Linked DNA regions of Diceros bicornis minor. The protein of the gene in region 1 purifies or fractionates together with the protein of each later gene. This does not show direct contact. Links are inferred from orthologs where the notes say so. Each region holds a gene or a part of one and is shown in the gene's direction. Other genes may lie near its edges. The genes, in order: SIRT1, EZH2, ZEB1 and HIC1.

Evidence for each region.
Region 2: the proteins of SIRT1 (region 1) and EZH2 purify together in Homo sapiens (affinity purification with western blotting; 3 studies listed by BioGRID and IntAct, with this or other methods). This does not show direct contact. The link is inferred for Diceros bicornis minor from reciprocal best matches to the Homo sapiens genes SIRT1 and EZH2.
Region 3: the proteins of SIRT1 (region 1) and ZEB1 purify together in Homo sapiens (affinity purification with western blotting; 4 studies listed by BioGRID, with this or other methods). This does not show direct contact. The link is inferred for Diceros bicornis minor from reciprocal best matches to the Homo sapiens genes SIRT1 and ZEB1.
Region 4: the proteins of SIRT1 (region 1) and HIC1 purify together in Homo sapiens (affinity purification with western blotting; 4 studies listed by BioGRID and IntAct, with this or other methods). This does not show direct contact. The link is inferred for Diceros bicornis minor from reciprocal best matches to the Homo sapiens genes SIRT1 and HIC1.

Annotation. Positions count from the first base shown.
Region 1 is NC_080745.1:37,974,005-37,981,746, reverse strand, and holds the start of SIRT1 (NAD-dependent protein deacetylase sirtuin-1), read left to right. Parts: upstream 1-4,724; 5' UTR 4,725-4,802; coding exon 4,803-5,220; intron 5,221-6,821; coding exon 6,822-6,938; intron 6,939-7,742. UniProt on the Homo sapiens protein: NAD-dependent protein deacetylase that links transcriptional regulation directly to intracellular energetics and participates in the coordination of several separated cellular functions such as cell cycle, response to DNA damage, metabolism, apoptosis and autophagy.
Region 2 is NC_080742.1:95,356,392-95,363,814, reverse strand, and holds the start of EZH2 (histone-lysine N-methyltransferase EZH2), read left to right. Parts: upstream 1-4,408; 5' UTR 4,409-4,416; intron 4,417-4,596; coding exon of another isoform or gene 4,597-4,620; exon of another isoform or gene 4,621-4,866; intron 4,867-7,423. Other genes in the region: ZNF398 (zinc finger protein 398), read right to left, coding at 944-1,339, 4,597-4,620. UniProt on the Homo sapiens protein: Polycomb group (PcG) protein. Catalytic subunit of the PRC2/EED-EZH2 complex, which methylates 'Lys-9' (H3K9me) and 'Lys-27' (H3K27me) of histone H3, leading to transcriptional repression of the affected target gene.
Region 3 is NC_080775.1:29,630,799-29,638,513, forward strand, and holds the start of ZEB1 (zinc finger E-box-binding homeobox 1), read left to right. Parts: upstream 1-4,711; coding exon 4,712-4,769; intron 4,770-4,991; exon of another isoform or gene 4,992-5,117; intron 5,118-7,715. UniProt on the Homo sapiens protein: Acts as a transcriptional repressor. Inhibits interleukin-2 (IL-2) gene expression. Enhances or represses the promoter activity of the ATP1A1 gene depending on the quantity of cDNA and on the cell type.
Region 4 is NC_080757.1:15,773,370-15,780,233, reverse strand, and holds the start of HIC1 (hypermethylated in cancer 1 protein), read left to right. Parts: upstream 1-3,848; 5' UTR 3,849-3,967; intron 3,968-5,421; 5' UTR 5,422-5,441; coding exon 5,442-6,864. UniProt on the Homo sapiens protein: Transcriptional repressor. Recognizes and binds to the consensus sequence '5-[CG]NG[CG]GGGCA[CA]CC-3'. May act as a tumor suppressor. Involved in development of head, face, limbs and ventral body wall.

The DNA of each region.
Region 1 (7,742 bases):
ATCGTAATGTACAAATTTTTGTGCAACTTGCTTTTGTCACTCACAGTGTATCATAAATATTCCTCAAGGATGACAGTTATAGATCTTTTTAATGGTTGCATAATATGACATAGTATGTGTACACCATAATTTGATCAATAGGTTTCCTATTGAAGACATCTGGATTGTTTCTTGACTTTTTTTCCAGGAACAGCAATGCCATAATAAATATTCTTGTATTCATATCCTTACATATTCACACTTCTATTTCTTTAAGATAAATGGGATTTGGGGTTGAAATGTATATGTGTATTTATAATTTTAATAAATATTTCCAGATTACTTTCCATTACTGTGACAGCAGTGGAGAGTATCAGTGTCCCCATATCCTGGTAAGCAGTAGATGGTAGCAATAAAATTTGTTTTGTTTTTGCCTATTTGAGGAGTGAAAAATGGTACCTCATTGTTTTACTTGCATATCCCTGACTACTAATAGATTCGAACATATTTTAAATATTTATATAGTCAAATATATATTTTTAGAATATATTTTATAAATTTATATATTTTAAATGGCTTCTGTCTTAGTTCTTTTTGATGCAAAATTATATATTATAAAATGTCTTCTAATATTTTTATTATATTTTTTTCATGTAGATCTTCAATCCACTTGGAATTTATTTTTGTATTTAGTGTGAGGTAGGAATCTGTATTTGTGTTTTTCCACATTAATAACCTGTTTTGCTAATACTGTTTTTCAGTACACAAAGAATTGATACTAACTCCCCTACTAATTGTAGTCACATGAGATTGAAATCAAAGCTATAAGGCCAATTTTTTTGTTCATATAAATAGAGCTGCCAAGTCAGCCAGAATATTATTGTTGGCTCTTGGAACATTTTCTTCCCAGTGGGACAGTCTATATGGGAAACCAAATTACTGTTGAAGGCTGCTTAGGGGGCTTAGAATTTGAAAACAAGTTAAAAATCCTAGTGACTAGTGTGAGAAGTCTATGACAGCCTTTGGTATAATAAAAAATAAATATTTGTCTTTGTCCTGTTTCTGAAACACACCTCCTAACACCCTTGGAATTTGCTGAGTGTTAGGAGTGTCTTTTGTTATTCATAATGAACTCCTTTCCTTCACTCCTGAGTTTATGCTAATGAGGTAGCTTAGGGTGGGGCTCCTAGATAGCTTCAGCTGGGGCTGGTCACCAGAAAGACCAAGTGGTTAGAGGGCAGGAACTTTCAGCCCCACTCCTGACCTCCAGAGAGAGGGATGGAGCGCACTGGAGATTGAACTCTATAAAAAGTCTTCAACAAGGAGCTTCAGAGAGCTTCTGAATTGGTTAACACATCCATGAGCTAAGAAGGTGGTGTGACCCAACTCCACAGGGACAGAAGCTCCTGTGCTCTGGACCTTTCTGGACCTTGCCCTACGTACCTCTTCATCTAGCTGTTCATTTGTATCCTTTGTAAGTGTCATGGGAACTCCCTGTTTATAGCCAGTTTGTACAGGAGGTCTGGGACTGGTGACTGGCATCTGAAGTGGGGGCAGTCCAGTGTCATAATTGAGTTGAACTGTTAAATACCCAGTTGGTATCTGGAGAATCAGAACTGGTGGTTCGTGTTGGAAAACACCTCACAGCCCAATGCACCTACGTTCATCCTGTCAAACAAGAAACAGGTCATGTCATGTTTCATTAACTTTCTCACCTGAACTGTGCTGGGGACAAACTGAATTTCCTTGCCTTGCTTCTTGCCTTTTTTTGTTTAGGATTCATGCTGCCCATCACCTTTCATTCACTAATTCTTTTCCTATATGGAAATCTTCATTTAGATTCTTTATTCTTTCATTCAATAAATAGATGTGCTAGTTACTCTACTAGAGAGCTGATAACACAGAGGTGAACCACATGAACCAAATTCCTGCTGTAGCTGGGGGAGACAGTCAGTAAAACACATAGAGAAAAATAAGTTAACAAGCAAAATAGGGGAATGTGCTCTATAACGTTCTGAATAAGGTATAGAGAGGACTCATTCTAGGGAAGGAGATACAGGCAAAACAGTATGACAAATATATGGCAGGCATATATGTATTTATTTTAAGCGCTTCTAGTGTTATTTTGTACATATATAAGCAAATACATATATATGGTCTCCCTTCCACACTCTCCCTTTTATTTTCTCACAAATAGTGCTACACACACTGTTCTACATCTTGCACTGTGCAGCATGGAGAGCATTCCATATGACAACTTAAAGAGCTTCCTCATTTATTTATTTTTATTTTTTTTTGCTTGAGGAAGATTTGCCCTGAGCTAACATCTGTGCCAATCTTCCTCTATTTTGTATGTGGGTTGCCGCCACAGCATGGCTGACAAGCAGTGTAAGTCCATGCCCGGGGTTTTGAACCTGCAAACCTGGGCCGCCAAAGTGGAATACACTGAACTTAACCACTATGCCACATGGCGGCCCCAAAGAGCTTCCTCATTTTAAAAAAAATGGTTTGGGGGCCAGCCTGTGGCCTAGTGGTTAAGTCTGACGCATTCTGCTTCAGTGGCCTGGGTTCAGTTCCTGGGCGTGGACCTACACTACTATCGGCAGCCGTGCTGTGACAGCGACCCATGTATAAGATAGAGGAAGACTGGCACAGATGTTAGCTCAGGGTGAATCTTCCTCAAGCAAAAAAAAAAAAAAAAAAGTCTGGTACATGAATAGCTCGGTTTAGAATATACTAATGCTAAAAATATTTACAAGAAGGTCAAGGCCAGATTCATGGGAGACTTGAAAAACTGAATGTGAACTTGCAAGCCTTAAGGACTAAGAATGACTTGAATTTCAGGCAAGTTGTTCTCAACTCCTGGTAGGCCAGATATCTAGTTGAGAAGGTGTGTGTTTGTTTTGTTTTTTAATACAATTTCTGTCTCTCATTTATCCTACCTGCCACGTGTACCCCATCTCTGACCTATCAGTACACTAGCAATCATATTGATCACAATAAAGACTAGCAAATGTCTTTGATTCATGATATATATAAATGAATGAATGAATGAATAACAGGATGTCCATAAGCTTACAAAGGTCTTTCTCAAAAAAGCTAGGAATTTTGTTTCTATTTTGATGGGATACTGACTCTCAACATTTCATATATTACATCCCACCAACGTGGCTGAGAAAGAATTTATGAAATATTTTGTAGAACAAGATAGACAAAGTGGGGAGAGAACAGGTCCAAGTATATCAGCCAGGGAGGTATCTATGTAGTCAGGAATTGGAGAGAGTATAGGAAGGAAGGAAGCACAACAGGATTTGGTCACTGATTGGTTACAGAGCATCAGTCTGAAGAAACACTTCAAAGTTGATTCCAAGTCTTCTTGAAAGAAATAATCACTTTCAGAAATGAAAAGAAATGATCAGTTGTAAGGGGAGATTCTCAGTTTAATTTGAGGTACAAAGACTTTTGGATATAGATGGGACCTTAGAGATAGATTTCCAATATTCTACTTTTTTTTAAGAACGAAGAAACAACTTAAGTTGCTTGCCTAAATTCACACAAGTAATTGGTGCAGTATAGGCAAGACCCACGTTCAGCTTAAGGGATGATTTACTGTAAACTCGGAGAGGCGCTTTAAGTGGACAGAAATGCCGCACTCCAGAAGCAGATGCCCTACCAAGCACTGGCTCTAGATCTGCCATGTATTATATGAGTCCTTAGTTAAAGATAGATATGGAGTGACAGAGTCCTGCAATTTCAGGGTAAATGGAAAGTAGGGGCTTCGAATAGGGAAGTAACTAATATTTTTGAGCTACTATGTATCCCTCACTTTACATCTGGCTATCTCATTTAATTCTCATCACAACCCTAAAAAATAGGTATTACCATTTTAGAGATGAGAACACTGGGTTTAGAAAGGTTAACTAACTTGCTCAAGTTAGAAGGGAAAGATCTCAAATACTAACCCAAACCCAGAGGTGTATAGGGGCCAAGTCATGCTCATTCTGTACTCTTCTTATATTGCCCCACTTGACCCAATACACTCACTTTGTGAAGCCCAGAGAAGGGAATTCACACACATTTGGAGCCAAGCTGAGGCCAGAAAGCAGACAGGTTGATCCCCAACCCCCCAAGTCAAAGGTCTTTCCAGGGGGTACACATGTCTTTAAGGATTTGACAGCCTACATCACCCTACAACTGATGGAGAGAGGGGGAAAAAGCAATCGGCTTAGGAGAGAAGCAAAGAGAAAAAGGAGCCAAGAGGAGCTGTCAGAATGGTGTGAGGAGTGAGCTGTGTCCTTTCGCCTCTACTCACACCTGTTAACAAAACAGACCCACCATCCAGCCTCCGTCCGGGAGCTAAGCCTTGGCCAGCTTCATTCCTTCTCGCCTCTCAGGAACTAAGTTTTAACCCTTAGCTTAAATCTTGAAAAGACTAAAGCAAGCAAGGTGTGCACTTAAGGCAGAAGTGGAAACTCGCACTGTGAATCAAAGCTTGAGCCAGCCTGGCGGCAGCGATTTAACGACAGTTCGAAAGAGAAGTTGAGAAAGGGGTGAGTTTGGCAGCACCGAGCGCCTGCCGCCAAGGGGTGGGGCGGCACCGCCCAAGGTGCGTTTCCTCCGGGCCCACGCCGCCTTCGCCAGCCACGTGACCCGCCGTGTTGTGGTCCAGCCCGCGTGGGTGGCGGGAGCGGCGGGGGCGGGGAGGGCCGGGTCACGTGACGGGGTTTAAATCTCCCGCAGCCGGAGCCGCGGGGGCGCCAGTGCCGCGAGTCGAGCGGGAGCAGAGGAGGCGACGGAGGTGGGCCAGAGAGGCAGTTTGGAAGATGGCGGACGAGGCGGCGCTCGCCCTTCAGTCCGGCGGCTCCCCCTCGGCTGTGGCGGCCGAGAGGGAGGCCGCGTCGCCACCCGCCGGGGAGCCGCTCCGCAAGAGGCCGCGGAGAGACGGCCCCGGCCTCGGGCGGAGCCCGGGCGAGCCTGGTGGGGCGGCCCCCGAGCGTGAGGTGCCGGCGGCGGCCGGGAGCTGCCCGGCAGCGGCGGTGGCGGGCGGGGAGCGGGAGGCCCAGGCGGCGGCGGCGGCCAGAGGAGACAATGGGCCGGGCCTACAGGGCCTATCCCGGGAGCCGCCAGCGGCCGACGACTTCGACGACGACGACGACGACAACGAAGGCGACGACGAAGGCGACGACGAAGGCGAGGAGGAGGAAGAGGCGACGGCGGCGGCGGCGGCGATTGGGTACCGAGGTGCGCAGGGCGCGGGCGGCCGGGACTGCGCATCCCCTCCTCCCTCTCCCGGGGCCCCTCCTGGGGTGGGGTCGGTGGGGGGGGGGTTCCCTGGTGCGGGCTGGGGGCTCAGGGCTGGCTCTGTGGCGTGCCCCTCCCAACCACGGCCCTCCTGAGCTGCGCGCCTCCGGTGCTGCTGGCCCGGCTGCTGCTGGCTTGGCTGCGCGAGCGGCCCGCGGACTCGCTCCCTCCCTCTCCTCCCGCCTTCCCTCTGTCCGCCGCCCGCCCGGGCTTCGCGCTTTGCGCAGCCGCCGGACCGGGAAGCTCTTGCAGTTGGTTTTAAAATGTTTCTCTCTCCTCCTACTCTTATAACATATTGCTTTTGTTAGACATCTTTTGCTTCCCACCCCCCGCCCCCCCCCAGCACAATTAAATCTGCAACTTTTGCATCGACCTTTTGCAGTCGTCTTTGCAAACTGACACCTGTGCAATTGGTGACTTTTGACAATTGGTGACTGTGCAGTTGGTCTTTATTTTTGAGCTAGCTTAAATTTTAAACAGCAAAGCTATTTCTAAAGTCATAACCTGCAAAATTTGAAGAGTATAAAGACGTTACGTAAAGACATTACCCTTCTGTGGTGCAATTAATAGTGGGCATAGGAGTGATAGTACTTGTAGAGCACTTTATATGCATAGTATTTCTCCTCTAATCATGTTCTTATAATGGTTTTTAGATTAAGTATAATCTTTTTGTGTGTGTATATGTAACCTTGAAACACGAATTGACATTTTTTCTGGCATACGCAAGCGGTTGTTAGTTGTATATGTCATGTCATCTTTGAAGGTTTCTTATTTTCCATCTGAGGAGTTTCTGCCCTGTGTTTATCAGTATTTGTATCAAATCCAATCAGTGGACCATTTGACCATCTGTAAAGGTAACAACGTGTGCATTAGGAACTGGATTAGTAAAACGACTCCTGATTTCAAGAAACACACTTTAATAGGGGAAACGAATAATGCAAAGATATCATTGTATACTTAGTATTATGTAAGAGAAGTGCAAATTGCTGTACTTCATTTGAACGACTTTTTTGGTGAATTTTTGTGTGACAAGTTTCATGAACTCCATTCTTTGTGATCGATAAAGTCAATCTAACTAGGTTACTACTTTTTGTGTTTTGATTAGGTAGACCCAATTTATTTAAATTTTGACGAACTGAAACTTTTAGATTCTGGGAAGAAGCGCTAAAAATGAGGATATACTGCTCCTGTGAACGGTGAAAGCTAACCCAGTAGGCATTCTTTACACGGGCTGTATAAATGTTACGTGCTTTATTCAGGAGTGGGCGTGGTGGCTTAGTGGTTAAGTTCGCGCACTCCAGTTGTGCGGCCTGGGGTTCGCAGGTTTAGATCCCGGGCGCGGACCTATGCACGGCTCATCAAGTGGTGCTGTGGCGGCATGACATACACAAAATAGAAGCAAGATGCCTACCAATGTTAGCTCAGGGCCAATCTTCCTCACCAACAAAAACCAGAAAGAAAATCTTTGCATTGTAGATCTTCGTACATTTTAGATGTAGATTGTTTAAGCAACCTTGAGTTACTTTTGGTTTCTTTTGCAGATGATCTTCTGTTTGGTGATGAAATAATCACCAACGGTTTTCATTCTTGTGAAAGCGATGAGGATGATAGAGCCTCACATGCAAGCTCTAGTGACTGGACTCCAAGGCCGCGGATAGGTATGGTTTCACAGCTTTAGAGAATAAATGTTTTTTTCTTTGTATTTTTGTTTTATGCCAACTGAAAGTGTAATTCTCTGCCCCCTTATAACCTAGTGATGAGGTTCTTAAGTGCTTGCTGAGATTTAATGTCAGCTTATGTTTCTAGGGAAAGTCTAGTGCTTTGTTCTGTTTTTGTTTGTAGCAGCTCAGGCCCACGGAAGCTGGCATCTGGTATTTCTCAACCAGGTCTCTCTCACACCTCGAGCCCTTTTCACTCATACCTTCTGTGTGGAATGCTCTTCCTCCCATTAAGAGTATCTTGCTCCCTCACTTCATATCTCTTCTTTAATTTTTCTTAACACTTTTTTTTTTAAATTTTATTTATTTATTTTTCCCCCAAAGCCCCAGGGGATAGTTGTATGTTATAGCTGCACATCCTTCTAGTTGCTGTATGTGGGACCCGGCCTCAGCATGGCCAGAGAAACGGTGTGTCCGTGTGCGCCCAGGATCTGAACCCCGGCCGCCAGTAGCGGAGCCCGCGCACTTAACCGCTAAGCCCCAGGGCCGGCCCAACACTTAACTTTTTTTATTGTCTTGTTTCCTGTACTAGAGTATAAGCCCCATGGGGGCAGGATTTTTGACTGATTGGTACACTGTTTTGTCAGTGCCTAGAAAAGTGCCTGACACATAGTTTGTGCTCAGTAAATATTTATTAAGTATGTAGATGAAATGGGAAAGTATTTTGAAGTAGAAAACACTATCAGATTTTTATACCAAAGTTATAACATGATCATCTCAAAAGTAATCTTTTTCTTAATGAGC
Region 2 (7,423 bases), on another chromosome or scaffold:
CTTTGTGCCTTCGGGACTTTGCACTAGGTATTCTTTCTGCCTGGAAAGCTCTTCCTCAGATCTCACAGTTGGGTCCTTCCTGTTATTTAGTATCAACCTAAATATTAGCTCCTTTATGAGAACTTCTCTGATACCCAATCTAAAATAAATCACCAGATAGCACTTTTATTTTTTATCAAAGCACTTAAATGGACATAAGTTTTTCTTTGTTTATGTTATCTTTCTTTCCCCACTAAAATTTAAACTCCAGGGGAGCTTTAGTGTCTTGTTCACTGCTGTGCCTTCAGGATGTAGATATCAAGCAAATAGTAAGTGTTCAAGAAATATGTGTTGAATGAATGAATGAATAAGCAGGCATGCTTGGAAACTAGCTGGCTCAAGGCTGTCTTCCATCGTTTAGGAATGATGTATATTTCCTTTTGTTTTATGGGCTATTCACTCCAGAAAGGCTGGGCCCTAGCATTGCAGCACACTTCTGTGAAGGATGCTGAACGGCAGGATCTACATCAGTTCTAGACCTACAGATGGCCCTAAACCCTTATATTAACCATTTACTCTACATACATTCCCTTCTCCTCCCTCTAACTTTTCACCAGAATTGCCGACAAATTCAAATTGACTGATTTAAATGATATTTAATTTAGTTTCCACACCAAGATTGTGGCAGACAGGTTAACAAAGGGAAAAGTGACTCGGGGGTAATGGGCAGGAGAAAGCAAAAGAGACCTATCTGCCAGATAGCCAACTTGGGATTAAGAAGAGTTTTCCAACCTGAAGTTCAACACTTCAAATGGTCGCTAAATTGAACATGGCATGCTCCCCAGATAGATAAACACAAAACAACTTCATAGTTCCTTCGGCCTAACTGATTGACCAAGACTATCCTTTACTACTAGTGTAAGGACTAGTGGGACCACTTTCCATCTAGAAGTGAAGGTATTACCTTTGGGATATCCCCTTTAATACCCGGGGGCAGCCGCAGGATCCAGAAGTTCCTGTTTCTCAGCAGGTTCTCCAAGTTCTCCAGCCGCCTCTGCAGCAGCCCGTACTCCTGCAACAGGGTCCCCAGCACGGCCCACTTGCCCTCCAGCTGGTTCCCAAGATCGGCCACTGTCTTTTCACAGCTGGCTAGCTTCTTCTCTGCTGTCCCTGTCCGTCCTTCTAGATGCAGGAGTCGCCGGCTGTGGACTTCCACCTTTCTCTCTATAGCCTGCACGGCGGCCACCACTGTCCACAGGGAGATGGCTGCAGTCTGCAGGTGTGCCTCATTTGCTGCTGGGGGTGTGGGAAGAGGAAGGGGCTGCAGGGACGTAAGGCATTCAGAGTCCCATTCAGAAGTCTGTGTGCAGTGGAGAGATGAGACAAGACACTGAGTGTTAGAAGGAGCCCTAATCCAAACTAAAATCAGATAAGGACCGCTTAAACTGGCCGGCTGAGATTAATCTAAATATAGTTTTAGTACCACCTGCATAAGCCTCGTCTTTATAGAGCTCATTGGCATCAAAAGCCAAGAGAACTGCTTTGGTGGTTCAGGGATGGATTAGGTAAGGCAGTGAATGAGTAAAGCTGGATCAAGAACCAGCCTGACATATTCCCTGGGATGTAAGGCTCTAGAGCCAACTGTCCAGAGGCTCAAGTTGTTGCTGCATCCTCTCTCTCTGGAAAAGGCCTAAGTGCATCAGGATCTTTCCAGGTTTCACTGAGCTCAGTGCCCTCTGATAAACCCCTTATTGACTTATGCTGTGGCCCTGTCCACCACCCTGCTTACAAACCACAACCATACCATTCAGTAATACTTAAGCTGAGAATGTTGAGTCTGGAGAAAACATGACAGCTATTTTCAAACATTTGAGGCTTATAAACAGAAAGCAGAACAGGCTTGTTTAATCTTATATTGTGTTACTCCAGAGGGCAGAACTAGAACCAACACGGAATTTTCAGGCAGGCAAACCTTGGCCTATATAAATAATTTTAGAACTAGATCTTTCCAAGAAAATAACAGGCTGCCCTAACACTGAATGTACTTCAAAACAGAGTGCATTTAAAAAAAAGAAATTTCTACAAAAAACAGAAGGCTTGACAGGCATGACCTCCACAAAGCCCTTCGACTCTATGAATTTGATAACATGCTCTCTGGCCACCACCTCCCATCTCTCCAGCTCACCCACTACCTTTTTCTCATTTCACCTGCTCTCCAATCCCACTAAACCCTTGACCATTCCATTTGCTCCTGGTTTATCAGCCTGCTCCAGGCTTTCCTTTCTTCCTTGGTTGATCATTTCAGCCACCTTCAGCCCCTTCACTCATCTGTCTTTGTGCCTCACCTGCTCAACTAACCCCTAGCTTTGAATCAGTCCGATCGTTCTCATTCTCTGTTCCTGTTAGCAGGCTGGTAAGCCCTACTAAAGGAAGTCACAGAACCGGGTAAACTGGTGTCACCACAGACCAATGGTGTCTAAGCTCAGCAGGGACTCAACACTGCCTGGTGCCCCCATGCTTCTTTTCCCATTCCATCTAGTGGCCACCAGAACCCTTGTGCCCGCACTCTCCTTAAATTTTAGTACAGCACTTCTCAAACTAATGTGCATAAGAATCATCTGGAGATCTTGTTGAAATGCAGACTTTGATTCCGTAGGTCTGGGAGGAAAATTGAGATCCTGCAGTTTTAACAAGCTCCCAGGTGATTGTGATGCTGCTGGCTCAGGGAACATGCGTTGAGTAGTAAGATGCCTGTCCACTGCAGGGCCCCTCACTCTGAGGAGATGACATGGACTCCTACTTTGAGAAGAAAATTAGAGTAACTAGACCAAACTCTCTCAACTTTCTCTTCTTTTTCTTCACACTCCTTCCCACTTCAAACTCATCAGTAACTTAATCTTGCTTTCTTCTTTCCTTCCCACAGGAAAAAGGTTCATTCTATTTAAAATTGATCTCTCCACTTAAGCTCTGAATGCCAACTCTTTCCACATTTTTAGGTACATTCTTCTTCTTTTTTATGGTCAATATTTCAATCTCTCTTGATTCTTCTCCATAAGATGGACCTGCACTGTTCAATATGGTAGCCACATGTGGCTACTGAGTACTTGAAATATGGTTTTGATTGAGATGTGCTGTGAGTATAAAATACACTGGAGGGGCCAGCCGTGTGGCACAAGTGGTTAAGTGCGTGCGCTCTGCAGCGCCGGCCGGGGTTCTCCGGTTGGGGGCCCGGTGTGCATGACGCACCGCTTGTCAGGCCATGCTGTGGCGGTGTCCCATACAAAGTGGAGGAAGATGGGCACAGACGTTAGCCCAGGGCCAGGCTTCCTCAGCAAACAAGAGGAGGATTGGCAGATGTTAGCACAGGGCCGATCTTCCTCACACACGAAAAATAAAGTAAAATACACTGGAGATTTTGAAGGATTAGTATGGGGGAAAATGTAAAACTTCATTAATAATTTAATATTGATTCCACATTGAAATATTTTGTATGCATTGGGTTAAATATCATTAAAATTCATTTTATCTATTTCTTTTTACTTTTTAAACATGACTACTAGAAAATTTAAAGATCTATATGTGGCTTCCATTATATTTCCACTGGACAGGGCTAGCATAGACGCATGATCATCTCTACCATATTAAAAAAAAAAAAAGGTTGGAAAAGGAAAAACAGGTCCAAGGGCAGAGATGGTATTCCCCTCTACTCTATTCCCCACCCCACTGATGCGGCTCTCTTCTTCCTCCTCTTCCTCCTCCTCTCACTTTCCAGTCACTCCTCGGTAGCACAGCTTGACCACTAAAATGGCTCTCTTTGGGGTGACCAAAGGCTTCTCAGTTGGCAAATCCAGGGCATACTTTTCAGCCCTCTGTTACTCGCCTGGTCCCCGCTCATGCTACCCGCGTCGGGGGTGCAGGGACTGCCTCGGTCATCTCTGCAGCACCAGCAACTGGCGGGGGGCCTGGCCCACCGCGGCCTGCGGTCAGCGGCCTGCGGTCAACGTCGGCTGAATGAACAGACGCGCAGCAGGCGCGCCGCCCTCGGAACCCGGCCCGCGTTCCCGCAGCGTGCCGACCGAGGCCCTCCTGTGTGTCCGGCACTGGCATGTGCTGGGCAGTCCTTCAATACACCGAGTGTCACCGTCACCACCGCCTCCGTGGCTGAGCGAGGCTCAGGCGGACCGCGCTGCGGGAGATTCTGTGAGGACGGCTCCCAGAGCCGAGGCTGACGACCGCACAGCCCCCGCCTGCGTCTGGCGGGCTGTGGAGCGCGGACACCGAGCGGAGGCACCCCTCTTCACGCATCCTCTCTCAGGAGCGTCCCAGGCTCTCCCCGCTAGAAGCCTCTAGAAGGGCTGGGACGCCCTGGCCTCGCAGCCGGCGCGGGATCTCACGGAGGGAGGCGGCGAGCCCTCCCAGCCCCGCGGCGGCGGCGTCCCACCCGGCCACCGGGCCCTCCCCGGCCCTCCCCGCGGGACCCCGGGGCGCCCGTCTGCGCTCGGCCGCTCGGGCTGCGCCCCGCTCCGGGCCCCGCGCCTGACAGGCCGGCTTCCCGCCCTCCTCCCTCCCTCGGGTCCGACCCTCCCGGGCTCGCAGCGCTCGCGCGGGCCGCCTTACCGGAGCCGCCGCCGCCTCGGCCATGGCCCCGCGCTGTCCGGCCCGGCCGGAGTCGCCGCCGCCGCCGCCGCCGCGCGGCCCCACGCAGGCCGGCCCCCGGCCTCTCCGCAGGCGGCGCCCGCCCGGCCCTGCCTTCCCCGCCCGGGCTCGCGCGGCCGTCAGGCCCGGTACTCGGAGCGCGGGGTCGCGACGGGGGCGCGGGGCGGCCGGCCGGTGGAGCTCGGGGGCGGGCAGGCTCAGCCGCGCTCGGCCCGCAGCGGCCCCTCAGCTGGCGCTTTGTGGGCACCGAGCGCAGCCGGAACGGCTCCGGCCTAGACGAGCCGCAGCCCCGCGCAGCGCGCCCCCTGTCGGCCCCAGCGGCCACTTCCGCCCCGCGGCTGGGTCGGCTCGGCCGGGTGGCGGGGTCTGCTCCACGGAGCCGGTGCCTCTGTCTCCTCGCACGCCCCGAGAGCGCTCCCCAGATGCGAGCTTAGGGCCTCAAACCAGGGCTCGTCTGGGGAGGGGTCCTTCCTGGCGGCCACATTCGCAGACACCGCCTGAAGCAAGGCGGGAGGGCGGGAGGGCGGGAGGGCAGCCCACTCTAGAAAGGTGGAACCAGGCGGAGGGCGAAAGCCGAAGGGCAGGCAGGGCCCAAGTGAGCCTAGAGTGAGTGACCGAGAGGCAGACATCTGTGATGAAGATGTTCGTCATTTGCAGAAATTGCACATGTGGCTGCCGAGGTGAAGCGGTTCACGTCCCACGTGGCCCGTGTTAGAACCAAAACTCTCTAGTCGTCCTACGTCTCGGATGACTGAGGTTTCGGTTTGCTGGGTCTGTGCTAGTGGACAGGAGAGAACCAAGTGTTGTCTGTGGAGGTTGGCAGAGTGTATATTATAGCAAGACGGCCGCAATAACCCGGAGTTTCCAGCACAGTCCTCATTTCAAACATGTGAACATGAATCAAAGTCCTCCCAAACCTGTATTTCAACAAATGAACCAAGTCAATATCCATAACAAACTATCTATAAATCACAAAAGTATGAGAACCATCCTGTTGGGGCACCTGCTCTTGAGCATACCAGCTATTTTTAGACTGTAGCTACACCTGCAGTGTGTAATTTGAGATCTACCTGAATGTATATTTTGGTCAAATGGTGAATGTTTGATAGTTAAAAATTGCTATTCTCTGAATCAGAATGTCGCCATAACAGAATGAACTTCTGGAAAAAATCTGAATTTTCTTGGGAAGGAAATTCGTTTTTATAATTTTATTATTAAAAATGTAGTAGTTAAAATTTTACAGTTTGACCTTATAAGGTCAAGAACAGTAATTTCTCGGTCCTGTCAACTGTTGGTTGCTCCCAAGACCATTAAACAGGGACATTTGCGTTACTAAATAAGATACTTTCAACTGAGCTCCATGGAGAAGCAAGGCTAGCTCTGCCAGTATAATATGGTGATATTGCCACCAATTTATTAAACGTTCCTTTTTCTAATAGGAGCTTATTAAGGTAAAGACTTTTCTCCTTTTTAATTTTTAGCCTTGAAAACTTTTTGGATGGTTGATGGCATTTCATTGAAGCAATTTCAGTGACTGGAGTTTTGTGCACTGTTTCAAAAAGATGCATGATATTTTCAGAAGCAGATTTAAGATCGTTGCGCTTGTTTATATTTTTTATTTCTGATTTCTAATATTTTTTTCTGTTCTTGCCGCTCTACACAATCACTAGAGAAAATTTTGTCCTTAAAGTTTGGATCTAGAAATGTGAAAACGGAGCAATTTAATTGGTTTTCAAGTTAAGAAAATAATCGAAGTTTCCATCTGCATCTTAGCTTTCCTTGTATGCACACCAATTTCAGCATCCGCCCTGGAGTAGAATCAAAGGAAGATCTTTTCAGCAGGAGTCATGTAGGAAATACTTGCACTCTCAAGACACACCAATTTATTCAGCAAGTTCCGACAAACAACCTGTGTGCTCTGCAGGCAACCATTGGTTATTAGTAAGTCTTGCTACGTTGGTAATGTTCTCTGGAAAATACAAAATTAAGGCCTTCTTGATTCCATCAGCCTTTGAAGGATGTAATAGCTGCTATCCCATCTAGTTTAAATATCTTGTGTATGTACATGACAAGACAATTTCAAAATCCCTCGTGTATCATAATTTGTTATTGGCTGAAGAAGAATTGTGGAAGTGGTCTATAATCTTTCTGCTTGCAGCCAGTCATTTTCTGTTACATCTTTTTAAACTATAACCATTTTCTGAAAATAAAACTGAAGGGTGTAAACAAATTATATTATGCTTATGTTCATAGCCTTCACCATATTTGTTCCATGGTCTATGACAATTTCATGCATTTCTCTATACAGATTTTACATTCCATAAATATTTCTCAAAGTCAGATTCACTATGTGTGTGAAACCCAGGAATCCTTCATCAGGTAAGGAAAGTGGAAACATGGTTGAATAAATGATTAATTCTCTGTGTTGTTAAACCTAAAAAATTAGGGTTGATTCTTCATGTCCAAATGTCACATATACCATATACTGTGGCAGCATATGTAATAATCTCATTAACCTTTTTGCGCACAGCAAAATATAAATCAGGAAAAGTTTTTAGGAATTTTTTCTAAAAGAAATCAGTATTTAGAATTCATAGCTTGGGCAAATCTCAAAAATCCTTTCTCTTCAACTGCTGAAAATGGTTATCAGTCTATAGCAATTATTTCTACAAGCTTTAAAAAATATTAGTTTTCACAAATCCCAAACCATGAGGCATTGTCTTATTAAAAGCATAGAGTTTGTTGTTTACAGAGAACAAATATATTTTGGATGTCTCATTTAATCTAA
Region 3 (7,715 bases), on another chromosome or scaffold:
CAATGATTGTAACTGAGGATCCATGGAATATAGAAGGCCAGGGCTGTAGGTCAAAGATGCCAGCCACACTGTAACAGAATCAGTCAGCTGCTCAAAGTCGTCAAGATGGCAGAGAAAAGAAATACGCGGAGGCAAGAGGGAAAACCAGCAGCAGAAACCAGATATCAGACGCCTGATATCACTGTAGATACTTAAAATTCACTCAAATCCAAAATATGTATGTTGCGCTCTCTAGTACAAATTACCTACCTATAGTTAAGTACAGAAAAAATTCTAATCATGTTCATAAGTGATATCAATATTAGAAACTATAATCTATCTTCTGTGGAGCTAGCCTTTGAAAGCAATGTCTTAATTATTGTGATTTTATGGAAAAGATCAGTTTTACATTTTGGGTGCCAGCCCTGGTCGTCTAGTGGTTACGAGTCAGCATTCTCACCGCTGTGGCCCAGGTTCCTTTCCTGGCCAGGGAACCACACCATGTGTCTGTCTGCCGGCTGTACTACTGTGGCGGCTGTGTGTTGCTGTGATGCTGTGAGCTATGCCACCGTTATTTCAAATACCAGCAGGGTCACCCATGGTGGACAGGTTTCAGTGGAGCTTCCAGACTAAGAGACTAGGAAGAAGGACCTGGTTACCCACTTCCGAAAACACTGGCCATGAAAACCCTGTGAAGAGCAGTGGAGCCTTGTCTGATACAGCACCAGAAGGTGAGAGGATGGAGCAGAAAGACCAGGCAGGGTTCTGCTCTGTTGTCCACAGGGGTGCTAAGAGTTGGAATCCACTCCACAGCACTAACAACAAACTTTTGGATGTTCATTAATATCCTTCAAATCTCTCTCTCTACATTTATTTATACTTACATCTCGCTATATTAGACATGTTCCTAAAAGTTGCCCCCCAAATAAGAAGCTCCATGTGTTAACACTTTATTGACATATTAAAAATAGGAGTCTTATTCTCCAGCAGGGGTAAAACCATTTTGTAGTGCAATATATAATAAAACCACACGGAGGTTTGCAGAAAACATCTGTCCCTATTACCTCCCGGGAGGCTTAATTAGAAAAGCTGATGTGGGTCCTAAAGACTGTTGGTTCTACATCACCCCCTAGTCATGGTTCCTTCTTGACTCAGGGACTGTAGAATCTGGTGAAATTGCAGGCAGTGAAACGACCACTGCTCTCTTTTGTGTCATTGTGAACCACATATCCAGAGTTACTCTTGAGCCAAAGACTGAGGAGCAACTTCAGGGGATTCTAAATTTGATGGATAACATCTATCAAATTTTTTTTCCTTCAAAGCTCTAAGATTAAGATTACACGTTAATGTCATTAATTTAATTAATTAATACGTTATCCTTCCATGAAAATAATCAACTTTTTATTTTGATGAAGATTACAGAATCATATTATAAATAAGTTATACTTCTCAAATGTGTTCAGGAAGTAAGGTACATGGAAATCACATGCTCGATGTGGAACACCATGAAACACCTACATTTTAAACTTAAAATGATTTTATGTCAAATTTTATCCTAATACATAAATCTTCTATGGAAAGCAAATAGGTGCAAAGGGTTCATGAAAAATTTATAGGAAAAAACTTAATATTGAAAATATTCTATCCATTTACATTTTTCCCTGTAAATTTAGAAAAGATTATAGTAATTCATTTTTAGCAGAATACCTCCCTTTCAGCATATGCAATCCCAGTGCTCGCTAGAAGCACAGTGTTAACATTTCATTGACGTCAAAAATAGGAGTATACATTGAAAACGTGTGACGGCACCACAATTACTAAAAACCAACAATACAGGACACATGTTAAACTCTTATTAGTATCCCCACCATCTTTTATTTAAATAAGTCTAAATTTTAATAAATTTATTCCTTTTTTAAATTTACTCAAGATTTTTTCCACTTCTTTAGTTATATTTAAGAGGTGTAAGAAGCAACCATTACAATATGCATCAGGTTTACAACAACGATTTATTCTGAGATTTACTTTTGTCTGCTTTCTTTCCAGTCTAGATTTCAATAATTTTGGAAACATTACAGCAAAAAAAGTGTATTAATCAAATATTCAATTTATAACATATGTAATTATTACAGGTTTACAAAATTAAAAATTTGTATTAGATTTGGGATATGAATAATATTTCCTGTGCATATTTTAAAAATAGGAGTGAGCAGAGGTAATCGTTTGGGGAAAATGATTATGGACTATCTAAAACGAAGAGCAATTAACCTCAAAATAATGCAGGATATAAATGACAGTAAACAGCTTTTACATCCACCATTTCAACTGCTCCTTAGAACTAATGTGATGAAAGCAGATAAACAACCCTTACTTTATAGCCAAAAACATTCAGGAAAGGTCAACAATATTGATTGATTTAATAAATATTTACTTACTGAGCATCTACTATGTGACTAGGTACTCTGCTAAGTGATGAGGGCACAGAAATGAACAAGCAAAAAAAAAAAAACAAAAACCAAAAAAACACTGTATCTGTCCACACAGTTAAATAAAGTCTGGCCCAAGCTAACTAAACTAGTAACCACTAAAGTAAGGCAGAAAATGACTTCTACTTGGCTTATCCCTTCACTTTCTCTCTTGGATTTCAAGGTGAGGATGAACACTGAAGAAAGCTAGTAGGGAGGTACAGGACAGGCACTTCAGAAAGAGAAAATGGCATGTAGGATACTTCGTGTGCTACAGTTAGAAAGTATTTTTTTTTTCCTTTCTGATTGGAAATTAGGGTAGCTATAAAAAAGTTACTTGTGGGGGGGGCGGGGAGGGAGGGGGGCGCTGCTAGCAAAAGACAAAGTCTATAACCTGAATCAGAAGGCAACTGAAGAACATGATACAGCTCTTAAGAGGGTAGGAAAAAAAACGTGAACCAAGCAAAGCCTGGACAAGGTTCTGGTTCTGACATGCACAAGTTCAGTCAACATGGTATTGAGAAAAGTGAGGACTGCCTGTACTTAAAATGATCAGTAGAAATAATGATTCTAGTCTTGGCACTGAGGAGAGTAGATATACAGACATAATGTATAGCACAGAATATTTACAGTCACATTTCATGCACCAATAAATAACGCATTCACTTCTCAAATGCCAAAGCCAACGTGGGAGAGAAAATTTTCATCTATATTCAGGATTAAACTTTCTAATTTTAAATTACCAGACTTCAGCTGTAAATTTATTTCAGTTGAAAGGTTTGAGGAGATTATTAATGCATCTTCTAAAATTCTGGAGGGTGTTCAAAAGACTATTTTAACATAATAAAGAATCCTGCCATAGGTATAACAAAAATTATAGGCATAAATTTATCGAAGACCTACTATGTGAGAGCACTGTGCTGGGCGACTTACTATGTTACTTCTAATAGTCTATGTCATGTTTCAGTTTCCTCAATTTCTCTATCAATAATTCTTACATAGTTAATTCATAACTATATTATCTGAAATACAGCTCAGCTCATTTATTCCATAAAGTTGGTCCCAAAGACATTCCCTCACTTGAATGGGGGAGGGGGGAAGGAGCGGAAAGCTAAGTCCTACTGAATACTGAAGACGACTTTCTTGGTATTTGTGGTGTTATCTACGCGGTCTTTCAGAAATCCCCAAACTTGTACAAAGTCAGGGACTCGAGATAGGATCAGCAATCTAACAGTCTCAAAGGCCACACGTGCGGCCGCTGTTTCGTGCCTTAAGGTCCCATAGGGCGGTAACTGCCCATTTAGGTGGTAAATCGTGGCCTGTCGATACCTTCACTCTAAGTCTTGACGCCTACAGCCTACTCTAAGGGGACAGCGGGGAGGAGGGCGGGGCGGCGGAGGCCGAGGTGACAGCAGGTGAGGGCCCGCGCATGAGGAAGTGAGACAGGGACAGCGTGGGTATTACTCATTCCGCTTACCGCCCAGGCGGCTTGCAAGCGGAACTTGTCGTCTCTCTCTGGGTCCAGCTTAAGTTCTACCTAATTGAAATCACTCTCTAGCCCGGGTCGCTCGGGGGAAACCCGCGCGTCCGTGGAAGGGAGGGAGTCAAGTAGCGCTCTCGCGACGCGCGCGTCCTCGCCGTCAGAGGCCGGGCTTCCCAAAGCCGCCCCTCGCCGTGCCTCTGATTCCGGGACTCCCCGGGGAGCCAGGCACGACCCTCTCCCGGGCCCGGGGGCGCGCCGAGCGGACAAACGATGCGTGGGGGGGAGCCCCACCTCGGGGACGAGGGAGGGCAGGTGGCTCCGTCTCTCGGAGGCGCAGCTCTGAGGGCACAGGGTCCCCAGCAGGAGCCAGACCCATACGCGCCCCAGGCGGCCGCGGCGGGCGTGGCCAGTTCAGAGGCGGATCGCCACGCAGCCTCCCACTTTACCTTTCTCACTCCGCCGGCCTGTCGCCCTTCTGGCCACGTCCCCACAGTCTCCTAACGCCCCCTCCCCCGTCCCCCGACACCTGAGGGAAACTTTTCCCTCTCCCCCCGATTCAAACTCAGCGGCTCCTACGGTTGCCGCAAACCGTCCTCTCCCTAGCAACAAGGTTCCGGCCGTAGAGCGAGCGGCTCTAGGTGTAAGGAAGGTGATGTCGTAAAGCCGCGAGTGTCGTAAACCAGGTGCGGTGGGGAGGGGGGAGGGGTGGAGGCGGAGGGGTGGGGGGGAAGGGGGAGGGAGGGGGAGGAGGTGACTCGAGCATTTAGACACAAGCGAGAGGATCATGGCGGATGGCCCCAGGTGTAAGCGCAGAAAGCAGGCGAACCCGCGGCGCAATAACGGTGAGTGGCGGAGGGGACCGGGGAGCGGCGGAGTCAGGGGGAGCCGGGCAGCCGGGGCGCCCCGGGGGTAAGGGGGGCGAGCTGGGCTGGGGGCGGCCGGGGCAGGGACGGGCAAAGTGGAGTGGGAAAGTAGAAAGTAGTGCTCTCTGCCCCCCTCCGCTGCCGCCGCAGCCGGAGCCGCGCCGCGGCCGCTCGCTCTCCCTGAACCGTTATGTCTCTTACCTGGTCTCTCTCCGCCTAGCGGCTCCTGCCGCCCCTGCCGCCTCCCTGGACCGTTAGCCGCCGCCGCATCCCGGCGCAGGGCGGGCGGCCCGGACGCGGCCGGCCACTTTTCTGGGCTCGGGGGAGCGGCTGTTGCTTCTTCTCGCACTTTTCCCCACTCTTTCGCCCCTCGGCGCCTCCCCTCTCCCCCGCCTCCCGGCCCCTCCGCGTTCGGCTCCCTGGGCGCCGAGGCCCCCGGGAGCCGCGGAACGAACTTGTGCCCGGCGCTGACCGTGCAAAGTGGCTTCCGCGCGCCGCCGCCCCGGCCGGCACCGCCGCCCGGGCCCCGCGGCTCGGCCGAACGGGCGGGCGGGCCGGGCCGGGCTGCGAGCGCGCGGCGGGCGGGACGCGGCGGCCGTGGGCTGCGTGTCGTCCGTGCGCGCGTGTGCGCCGCGCGCGCGGCGGGCGGCCCGGGCTCGGCCGGCGGCGGTAAAGTTGGGACCGGCTGGCGAGGCGCGCTCGCGGAGTGGGCATTAGCGGCGCGGAGGCGCGGGTCCCTCAGCGCCCCTCCTCCCCGCGCCTCGGGCCATCGAGCTCCGGGCCCCCGGCCTGGGGGCGCCGAGGCGAGCCCCGCGCGGGAGGACCCGGTGGTGCGGGAGCCGGCGGGCGGGAGCGGGCACCTCCTTGCTGGGGGACGTGTGGATGGCGGCGAGCCGGGCAGCGGGTGTGTGCGCGGAGTTACCTGGGCTCAGACGGGAAAGCACCACAGACAGATCCCCCCTTCCCGGGAAGACTCCTCCGCGCCGGGATGGGGTCCTGCACCTACGCCTCTCTTTTTTCTCTTTCGGTTTTTGGGGAAGTTGTTACCTGGGCCGGACGCTCGGAGCGCTGAAGCCGGATAATGGAGCTTGGATGGCGCTCTCGGTCTCGGGTGGAAGGAGGGTGGGGGAGGGGGCGGACGGACCGACGGACGCGCGGGTCCGCTGCTCGCGCTGCAGCTGCAGTGCTTATTGATTTGTGCTGAGGTGCCGGGGACACACACACCCCTCTGCCTGGCGTGAGAGTTAAAAAAAGCAAAACACGAGAGAGAGAAACGGAGGGAGAGGGAGAGAGCGCGAGAGAGCAGGACCCGAACATGTGGTTGTTGTTGCACAGTCGCCTTTTCCAGTTTGGAGAGACGGTGTAAGTTGATTGTATTTCTGCTTATCTCGGGGGCGAGTCTGTGCTTTCTCTCCCTCTGGTTCAGCAGCGAAATGTCTGCTGATTGTTATTGTCTGGACAGTTCCTGTGGCGAGAGGGGCGAGACTTCTCCGCCCGGGGGCGGCGGGAGCGCGGGGAGAGGACCCCGCCCGCGCCGGCCGGGTACCTGTTTGTATAATAATGGGCGGCAACGGCCTGCGCTGGCTGCAGCCAGGCTATATAAGGAATTACACGTACATTTCGGACCGAGGGGCTCCTTTGCGTTCCTGCGTTATTTTAAAAACGAGTTTTTAAGAGTAGGGCAATAAATGCGCCTCTAATGGGATCGCTGTATCTTCCAGAAAATGAGGAAATACGTGTTTAAGTGAAAACTCGCGCGCGCTCCCCCCGCCCCACCCCCCGCTCTCGGGATCCATTCTCCCTCCCCTCTGGGATGCGAAACGCGAGGTTTTGTAACCTTTCCTGGCAATTTTAGATTTTGTGTGGGATTTCCTGTCGAGAAGCAGATACGAAGATTTAAAGCTGTTTCAAGATGTTTCCTTCCAATCGTAAACATATTTTTAATATATTTGAGCCGACATTAAAATCACTGCTTTCATGAGTGATTTTAGATATTCAAATAAACGTTTTCATTTTAAAGACGTCTGTTAGTTATGACTGATAACTAATATTTGGTATCCTCATTGTGGAGAGATGACTTGTTACAGCAAGGAGCGAAGCATAGGCGATTGCAATTTTAATTTCCTGTTTTAGCGTCAAATAGTGTGTCCTATATTGAGCTGTTGCCGCTGTTGCTGATGTGGCTTTATGAAAGGTAAGTTGGTTCGGAAAGGGCTGTTCGCTCTACCTTATTTAAAATGTTCATCGCCAGAGAAAGGGGCTTTTCTTGTTGCTGACGACATGTGTGTGACATGTGAGTCTGAACCACCCAGCGTCTGTGCAGCTGCTGTAAACATGTTTACCTGAACAGGAAAGAATGGATTTTTCTCCTAAAGATCCTGTGATATGAATATTATACTCATAAGGCATATCAACAGATGACTTAAGGGAAAAAAAGCTATCCTGAAAGGTACTTGAAATCAACAGGAAAAAGAGGTTCTCGATCGCTGCAGCAAATGGCAACTTGTGCAGGTAGAAAAAAGATGGTGTTTAGTTTTCTCCTGCATGTATGTCAGCCCACTCCTGTCTGCTGCTTTCATTCTCAAGGGAGGGATTATTTACCATGCTTGCTGTCAGTGTTTTTCCTTTGTGTTTAATATTAGAAAAACAGATTTGGGGCCGTTTAGCACAAAATGTCTTGTCTGCAGTATGCATTACTCTCAGAAAACAAAAGGTGTTTAAGATAGCACTGTACTACCACAGGTATCTTCCATTTTCATCACTTTTGGCTCTGTCTTAGTATTTCTTTTTGTTCTCAAATGCATTTCATCCATCGCTGTTGATTACAGCCATGCTACTTGATTAAGCCTTATAATTTGCAAATTAAAAATGAAGTTATATGCCATTGTGTTGTGAAACCTCAGGATAGATTCTGGTTAATATGTC
Region 4 (6,864 bases), on another chromosome or scaffold:
CCGTGCTGCGGGGAGGAGGAGGAGGGGGCGCCAGCACCTTCGCCCCACTTTCTTGGGAGAATGGCGCAGGAGCGCCAGGAAAAGCCGCGGGGACTCTGGGGTCCGTCCTCTGTTCGATGCTCCTCCGAAGTGGCTGCGTCTCCATCCAGGAGCGGGCAGGTGCTGCACGGAGTTCCGTGTACGCCTCCGGCCCGGCTCCACCAGCTGCGAGGGGACCCTCGGCCCCCACCCTGTCCCCAACCCCAGCCCCGTAGAGGCCCTCCAACCTGCTGCTTGCTGGTCTCCTCCTTGCCCTCCTGTCCGTGTCCGTGCATCGGTCCATCTGTCTCCCGTCGGTCGGTCATTCCCGCTTACCTGTCGAGCCGCGTCGCGCCCGCGCCCGCGCCCGCGCCCGCTCGCCTCCCGCAGCCCGGCTGGCGCGGCGGCTTTTATAGGAGCGCGTAGTACTCGTGCGGCGGCTCATTCATGCGGCCGCGGCTCCTACACACTGACGCGCTGCCGACGTCAGCAGGGAATTTAGGAAACGGGAAGAGGGGCTATTTATAGTGGTGAGGCGAGGAGGGAGAGTGGTGGGGACCGAGGCGACAGGGGGCTGAGAGGGGGAAGAGGGCGCACGGAAGCAGGAACGGGGAGGGGGAGCCCGCGCCCCCTGTGCCGGTCTACCAGGGGTTAATTTTCCGGAACTGCGGGCTGGGGGCCGGGGGAAGGATAGTGCTGGGATGCGGGGAGGGCGGACGGGTCCGTTACATGTTTATTCACTCTGGGACACCTAGGGGCGCAACCCCATCCCGCCCGCCTTTCAGAGGTCCTCACCAGGTAGCCCCCATTCCCATTCCTCACTTCCTGGACCCGACCGCTCTGTGAAGTCACAAGATGCCCCGCAGCGGCGTTGTACAGCAGGGCCACTGCGGGGGGCAGGAGAGGAAGCTGGACCCGCGGAGGGGCCTACGGCAGCATCTAGAGATGTGGCGTCGGGGAGATGGGGAAGAAGAGTGGGGGAGCCCAAGGGTCCCGGAAGGCTTTGTAGGAGGAGGCTGGGCCTGGGAGGGAAGGCCCAATGGGGGTCCAGGTACCAGTCAGAAGTTGGAGACCCAAAGGAAGGCAGAAAAGTTGAGGAGGTGGCTTGGACTCCCCAGAAATGAACAAGGGGGTCCTCTATGGGACAGTTGGGAAAAAGGTGGCAGGAGAAGGGGGCGAGAGGAAGAGGCAGCCTCATCAAGTGGAGGGGAGGAGGACAGGTTGGCAGTGCCATTTTCAGAGCCTAGCACGAAGCAGACCGCGTTTAGGACCCATTTGTGGAATAATGGGAACTGGCAGAGCTCAGATAAGGATGATAACGAGTGAAGGAGACCAAAGGCTCAGCAGCTTGGCAGAGTGGGGTCTCCAGGGGGCGGCGGGGCAGAGACCACTTCCTGGAGGAGTTACAGTTCTTGGAGATCACAACTGGCAGGAAGGGCCCACACCATGTAGTCAGAGTTCCCCTGGACGGGAGCAGGGAAATGAACGACCCTGGCTTAGCCTAGCTCCATCAATTGAGGAAGTCTCCAAATGGGGAAGGGGGAGAGTGTGCAGATTGAGGAGCTGGACTGGGGTGAGGAGGGGTCAGCACCAGCCAGGGCAGGTGGAACTAGGGAAGGAGGGAAAGGTCAAAGTTTGAAGAAGGGAGAGGTCCATAGGAGGGCAGCTAGGCTGGAGGAAGTTCTGTGAGACCCTCCCATACAGATGTAAGGACAGCTTGAGGGTAGGGGCTGGGGCAGTGAGTTAACTTGGGGAGAGTGTTGAAGAAAAACAAAGACAGTGGGCACAGCGGACCCTAGGGTAGGTTCACAGTGGACAGACTCAACCGCACAAAAGAGACGTGGGGCTGAGGGGCTCCTTGTGGGGCTAGGATCTGGCCCCATCAAGAGGATGAAAGACTACAGCAGAAATGGGGTCAGAGAGGTCATGCACACTTTGGGATCTGGCCTTCTAGAGTTCCCATTTTTTTTTGTATCCAGTCTTTGTCCCAGTGGTTCTCATCTCCAAGGAATGCCTTCCTGCCTGGGGGAAGAACTCCTATTCATCCATCAAAGCCCGGCTCTAAGAGCGCTTCTTCTGAGGAGCCTTCTAGTCTCCCCCCAGCACTCCATACATTTTTCCACCTCAACGCACCACATGTCCCTCCGCCAAGATGTGGGGGTCCGTCTCTCCTAGAGGCCGGCAGCCCCGGAGCCCACAATTTTCATTCTTGGAACCTCACTACTTCTCTAGTGAGGAGACCGTGGGGAGACAGAGGAGAGGACTGGGATAAGACGGATCCAGAACACGTAGTAGAAACAGGGTGAGGGCAGACTCAAGACACGAGGGGAGTCAGAAGGTCCCGCGGGGACCAGGAACCGCCGCCTGGCCCCAAGGCCATGAAGTCGCCTGCGGAGGAAAGTGAGCCTCTGGGGGGCGCCTGAGACCTTGGTGTCTGTCAGCGACCGCGAGTGGCTGCGCTGGCAGCCCCTCAATGAATGACTCAGCCACTACCTCTGGCGGGGGCGTGGGGGCGGAGGACCGCAGCCGGGCGGCGAGCGCGGCCCCCACCTGCCCCGCGGCCCTGCTAGTTGCTAAGCTCTTCAAGGCCTTGGAGAGACGCGATCTGGGCGAACCTCATCGGTTACTATGGTAACTGAGCCCCAGCCTCTCGCGCGCGGCGGCTGAGGGAGGAGCAGCCAATCAGAAGCCGCAGGCGTTCTCGGGGACCCACTCCCACCCCCAACGTGTGGGCGGGGGTCAGGAGGTGCGAGGAGGAGGCGGAGCGTGGGCTGCGGCGACCCCGCGCTCTCTACAGGCCCGTTGCAGCGGCGGGGCCGGGCGCTGACACTTCCGGAGTAGCCTTGCGAGTGTCCGATCGCCAGTGCGGGGTCCCCTCCCTCCGAGAAGGGGCGTCACTTGCAAGAACCCGGCCTTTACGTGGGGGTGCGGGACCTTGCGGGGGATCCCGGGCTGCAGGCCCTCCTGTCACGGGTCTCTCGCGTCGGTGGGTTGCAGACGAGGTGGCCCAGGCATGTCCCTCGGAACGGCTCACACGGGGAATCTGGGGGCTGGGGTCGCTTCTGCGGGACCCCCAAGAGGCGCTGTCCAGCCATTCCCTGTCGAATATCCTGGGGTCCTTCCAGAGACCTGCAAGTTCAGGGCGGGCTGTTTGGGTACCACGTCTGCCCAGGTCCACGGAGAGTCCTACGTGGCAGCCCCCGGAATGTCCCAGAAAGCCAGGGCTTGGACTCCGGAAGGGGGCAGGTGTGTTCTGTGCAAACAGGCGTGCCCGCAGGTGTCAATGCCTGGAGACGGTCTGGGTGCAAACGGGTTTATTCTGTGCATACCTAACCCATGTGGCTGAGTGAGGGTGGATGTGTTGGGGTGGTGGGTACAAATGGACAGTTCCATCTAGGAATGTCTAGGGAGAGTCACCTAAGATCTTGTCTACCTTCTTCTCCCTTAGGATTTCCGTAACCTCCTTCCCACCATCTACTGTCACCAGAGTCCCCTCCTTGCGGGCAGGACTTCTCTGAATAGAAATATGTAAATGGGAGCGTTCAGCTCAAAACCCCAGGGTTTGTGGGACTCGCAGGTCCGGGGCCTGGGTCCCCAAGTGGGCACATCTGGGGGAGTGAACCTGCGAATAGGCCCCCCTCCCAGGTCCAGCTCCGCAACTACGAGCCTCCAATTCAGGTACGCGGGAGGGAGGTCGCGGCTGTGCCGCGCAAAGCCCTTCGCGGCCGCGAGGTGGCGCCATAGCTGCAGCAGCGCCCCCCGGACCGGGCAGCTCCAGATAAGAGTGTGCGGAAAGCGCGGCGGGGCTGAGACGCGACCAGGACGCGGGGAGGACGGACCAGCAAGACAGACCGACCGGGGGCCCGGCGGGCGGAGGGCAGCGCAGCGCAGCCACGTCCCCCCTGGATCCGCTGGCAGCCGGGCCCGGGGCTTCCGACATGCCCCCCAGGTGGGTCCTGGGGCTGGGGACCAGGAGGGACAGAGGACCCGGAGAGCCCGGTCCTCGCGCCCTGGCCGCCTCGGGCGCATCCTCCGGCGCGGGCGCCCCAGCGCGGCTGGCTTTCAGGGCTCGGGGTGTCGCCCCTAGAGGACTCAGGACCTCTGGGCCGCTGCTCTGCGCCGGGTTCACGGCGGGGTCAGCGGCCCGGGGCCGGCTCTGCCCGCACATGGGCTGAAGAGGCTAGGGGAAGGGAAGGGGAGCTGGCGGGCGGGGCTGGCAGGGGCGCTGCCCTGGCACAGCTCGGCGCCTGGCAGCGGGGCGGGTGGGGCCCTGGCTAGGACTGCCACCGCCTCGGGGAGGGAAGCCCGGTCGGGCTGCGGCCGCAGGTAACGGGCCGCGAGGCCCTGCGGGCCAGGCGGGGAACAGAGTCGGGCGGGCGAGCGGGCGGGCCGGGGAGCTCAGGGATCGGCTCAGGCCCTGCGACCGCCTGGCTGCCGAAATTGGGAGCCGAGAGGAAAAGCTGGGAGCCAAGGGACCGGGGCTGGCGCGCTCCTCCTGGCCTGTCTGAAGTTGGGAAACTTTTCCCCAAGTTTGGGACGGCGGAGTTCCCGTGGAGAAGGGGCCGAGGAGAGCTGGGGAGGGAGGCGCCGGGCCCGCGAATGCAGAGCAGAGGCCGAGGCCCGGGGCCGGGACGCGGGTGGGGCGCAGGCCGGGGTCAGGGCCGCAGCCGGCTGCGCGCCGTGCCCGCCCGGGGCGCTGCCCCCTCCCTCCCCTGGGAACTGCGTGGCTCCCCCCTCCCCCCCACCTGCTTCCTGCCTCAGCCTCCTGCCCCGATATAACGCCCTCCCCGCGCCGGGGCCCGGCCTTCGAGCTCTGCCCAGCAAGGCAGCCGCTGCCTCCTCTCCCCGCGCCGCGGCTGCCGCCCGGGCCCCAAATGAGGGCCTGACAGCCCCGGCCAGGGCGGCGCCACGGCGGGCACCGCGCTCCCCTCCTCCGGATCACTTCCCCCAGCTGGGGCAACTTCTCCCGAGGCGGGAGGTGCTTTTTACTCGACTCCCTTACATCCCACTTAGGCAAACTTCTCGGCCCTGAATGACTTTTCCTGAAGCGGACATTTTCCTCAAATCGGGTAACTGTCTCCTAAAGGGTCACTTCGCCCGAACAGTTTTTTCCTCGGAAGCCCCCACAAGCCAGCCTGTCTGCCGGGCGGCATCCGGGCCCAAAGGTGCAGGCCCACCCGGCCTTCTCTCCACTAGCCACTCTCCTGCTCCTTCTTCTGGGCCAGCCGGCCCGCCCAGGCTCCCACACTCGGAGGCTGCCGATCCTCCGCCAGTGCCCAGGCCGCGGTGCTGATGCCCCGGCCTAGCCGAGGGGAAGGGGAAGTGGAGGGGAGAAGCACCGGGCTGGGTCCAGGCAGCAAGGGCTCCCTGCGGCTCTGACCCAGCTGGTGTGTGTCCCCGCAGGAGATTGTGCTGGGCAGACGATGCTGGACACGATGGAGGCGCCCGGCCACTCGAGGCAGCTGCTGCTGCAGCTCAACAACCAGCGCACCAAGGGCTTCTTGTGCGACGTGATCATCGTGGTGCAGAACGCCCTCTTCCGCGCGCACAAGAACGTGCTGGCGGCCAGCAGCGCCTACCTCAAGTCCCTGGTGGTGCACGACAACCTGCTCAACCTGGACCATGACATGGTGAGCCCGGCCGTGTTCCGCCTGGTGCTGGACTTCATCTACACCGGACGCCTGGCTGATGGCGCGGAGGCGGCGGCGGCGGCCGTGGCCCCGGGGGCCGAGCCGAGCCTGGGCGCCGTGCTGGCCGCTGCCAGCTACCTGCAGATCCCCGACCTCGTGGCGCTGTGCAAGAAGCGCCTCAAGCGCCACGGCAAGTACTGCCACCTGCGGGGCGGCAGCGGCGGTGGTGGCGGCTATGCACCCTACGGGCGGCCGGGCCGGGGCCTAAGGGCCGCCACACCCGTCATCCAGGCCTGCTACTCGTCCCCAGCCGGGCCTCCGCCGCCGCCCGCCGCCGAGCCGCCGTCGGGCCCCGAAGCCGCCGTGAACACGCACTGCGCCGAGCTGTACGCCTCAGGCCCCGGCCCGGCCGCTGCCCTCTGCGCCCCGGAGCGCCGCTGCTCCCCGCTCTGCGGCCTGGACCTGTCCAAGAAAAGCCCGCCGGGCTCCGCGCCTTCCGAGCGGCCGCCGGGCGAACGCGAACTGCCCCCGCGCCCAGACAGCCCTCCCAGCGCCGGCCCCGCAGCCTACAAGGAGCCGCCGCTGGCCCTGCCGCCGCTGCCGCCGCTGCCCTTCCAGAAGCTGGAGGAGGCCGTCCCGCCTCCGGACCCGTTCCGTGGCGGCGGCGCCAGCCCGGGACCCGAGCCCCCCGGCCGCCCCGACGGGCCCAGCCTCCTCTACCGCTGGATGAAGCATGAGCCAGGCCTGGGCAGCTACGGTGACGAGCTGGGCCGGGAGCGCGGCTCCCCCGGCGAGCGCTGCGAGGAGCGCGGCGGGGACCCGGCCGCTTCGCCTGGGGGGCCCCCGCTAGGCCTGGGGCCGCCGCCGCGCTACCCGGGCGGCTTGGACGGGCCTGGCGCGGGCGGCGACGGCGACGACTACAAGAGCAGTAGCGAGGAGACGGGCAGCAGCGAGGATCCCAGCCCGCCCGGCGGCCACCTCGAGGGCTACCCATGCCCGCACTTGGCTTACGGCGAGCCTGAGAGCTTCGGTGACAACCTGTACGTGTGCATCCCGTGCGGCAAGGGCTTCCCCAGCTCGGAGCAGCTGAATGCGCACGTGGAGGCTCACGTGGAGGAGGAGGAGGCGCTGTATGGCAGGGCCGAGGCGGCTGAAGTAGCTGCCGGGGCTGCCGGCCTAGGGCCCCCTTTTGGAGGCGGTGGGGACAAGGTCGCTG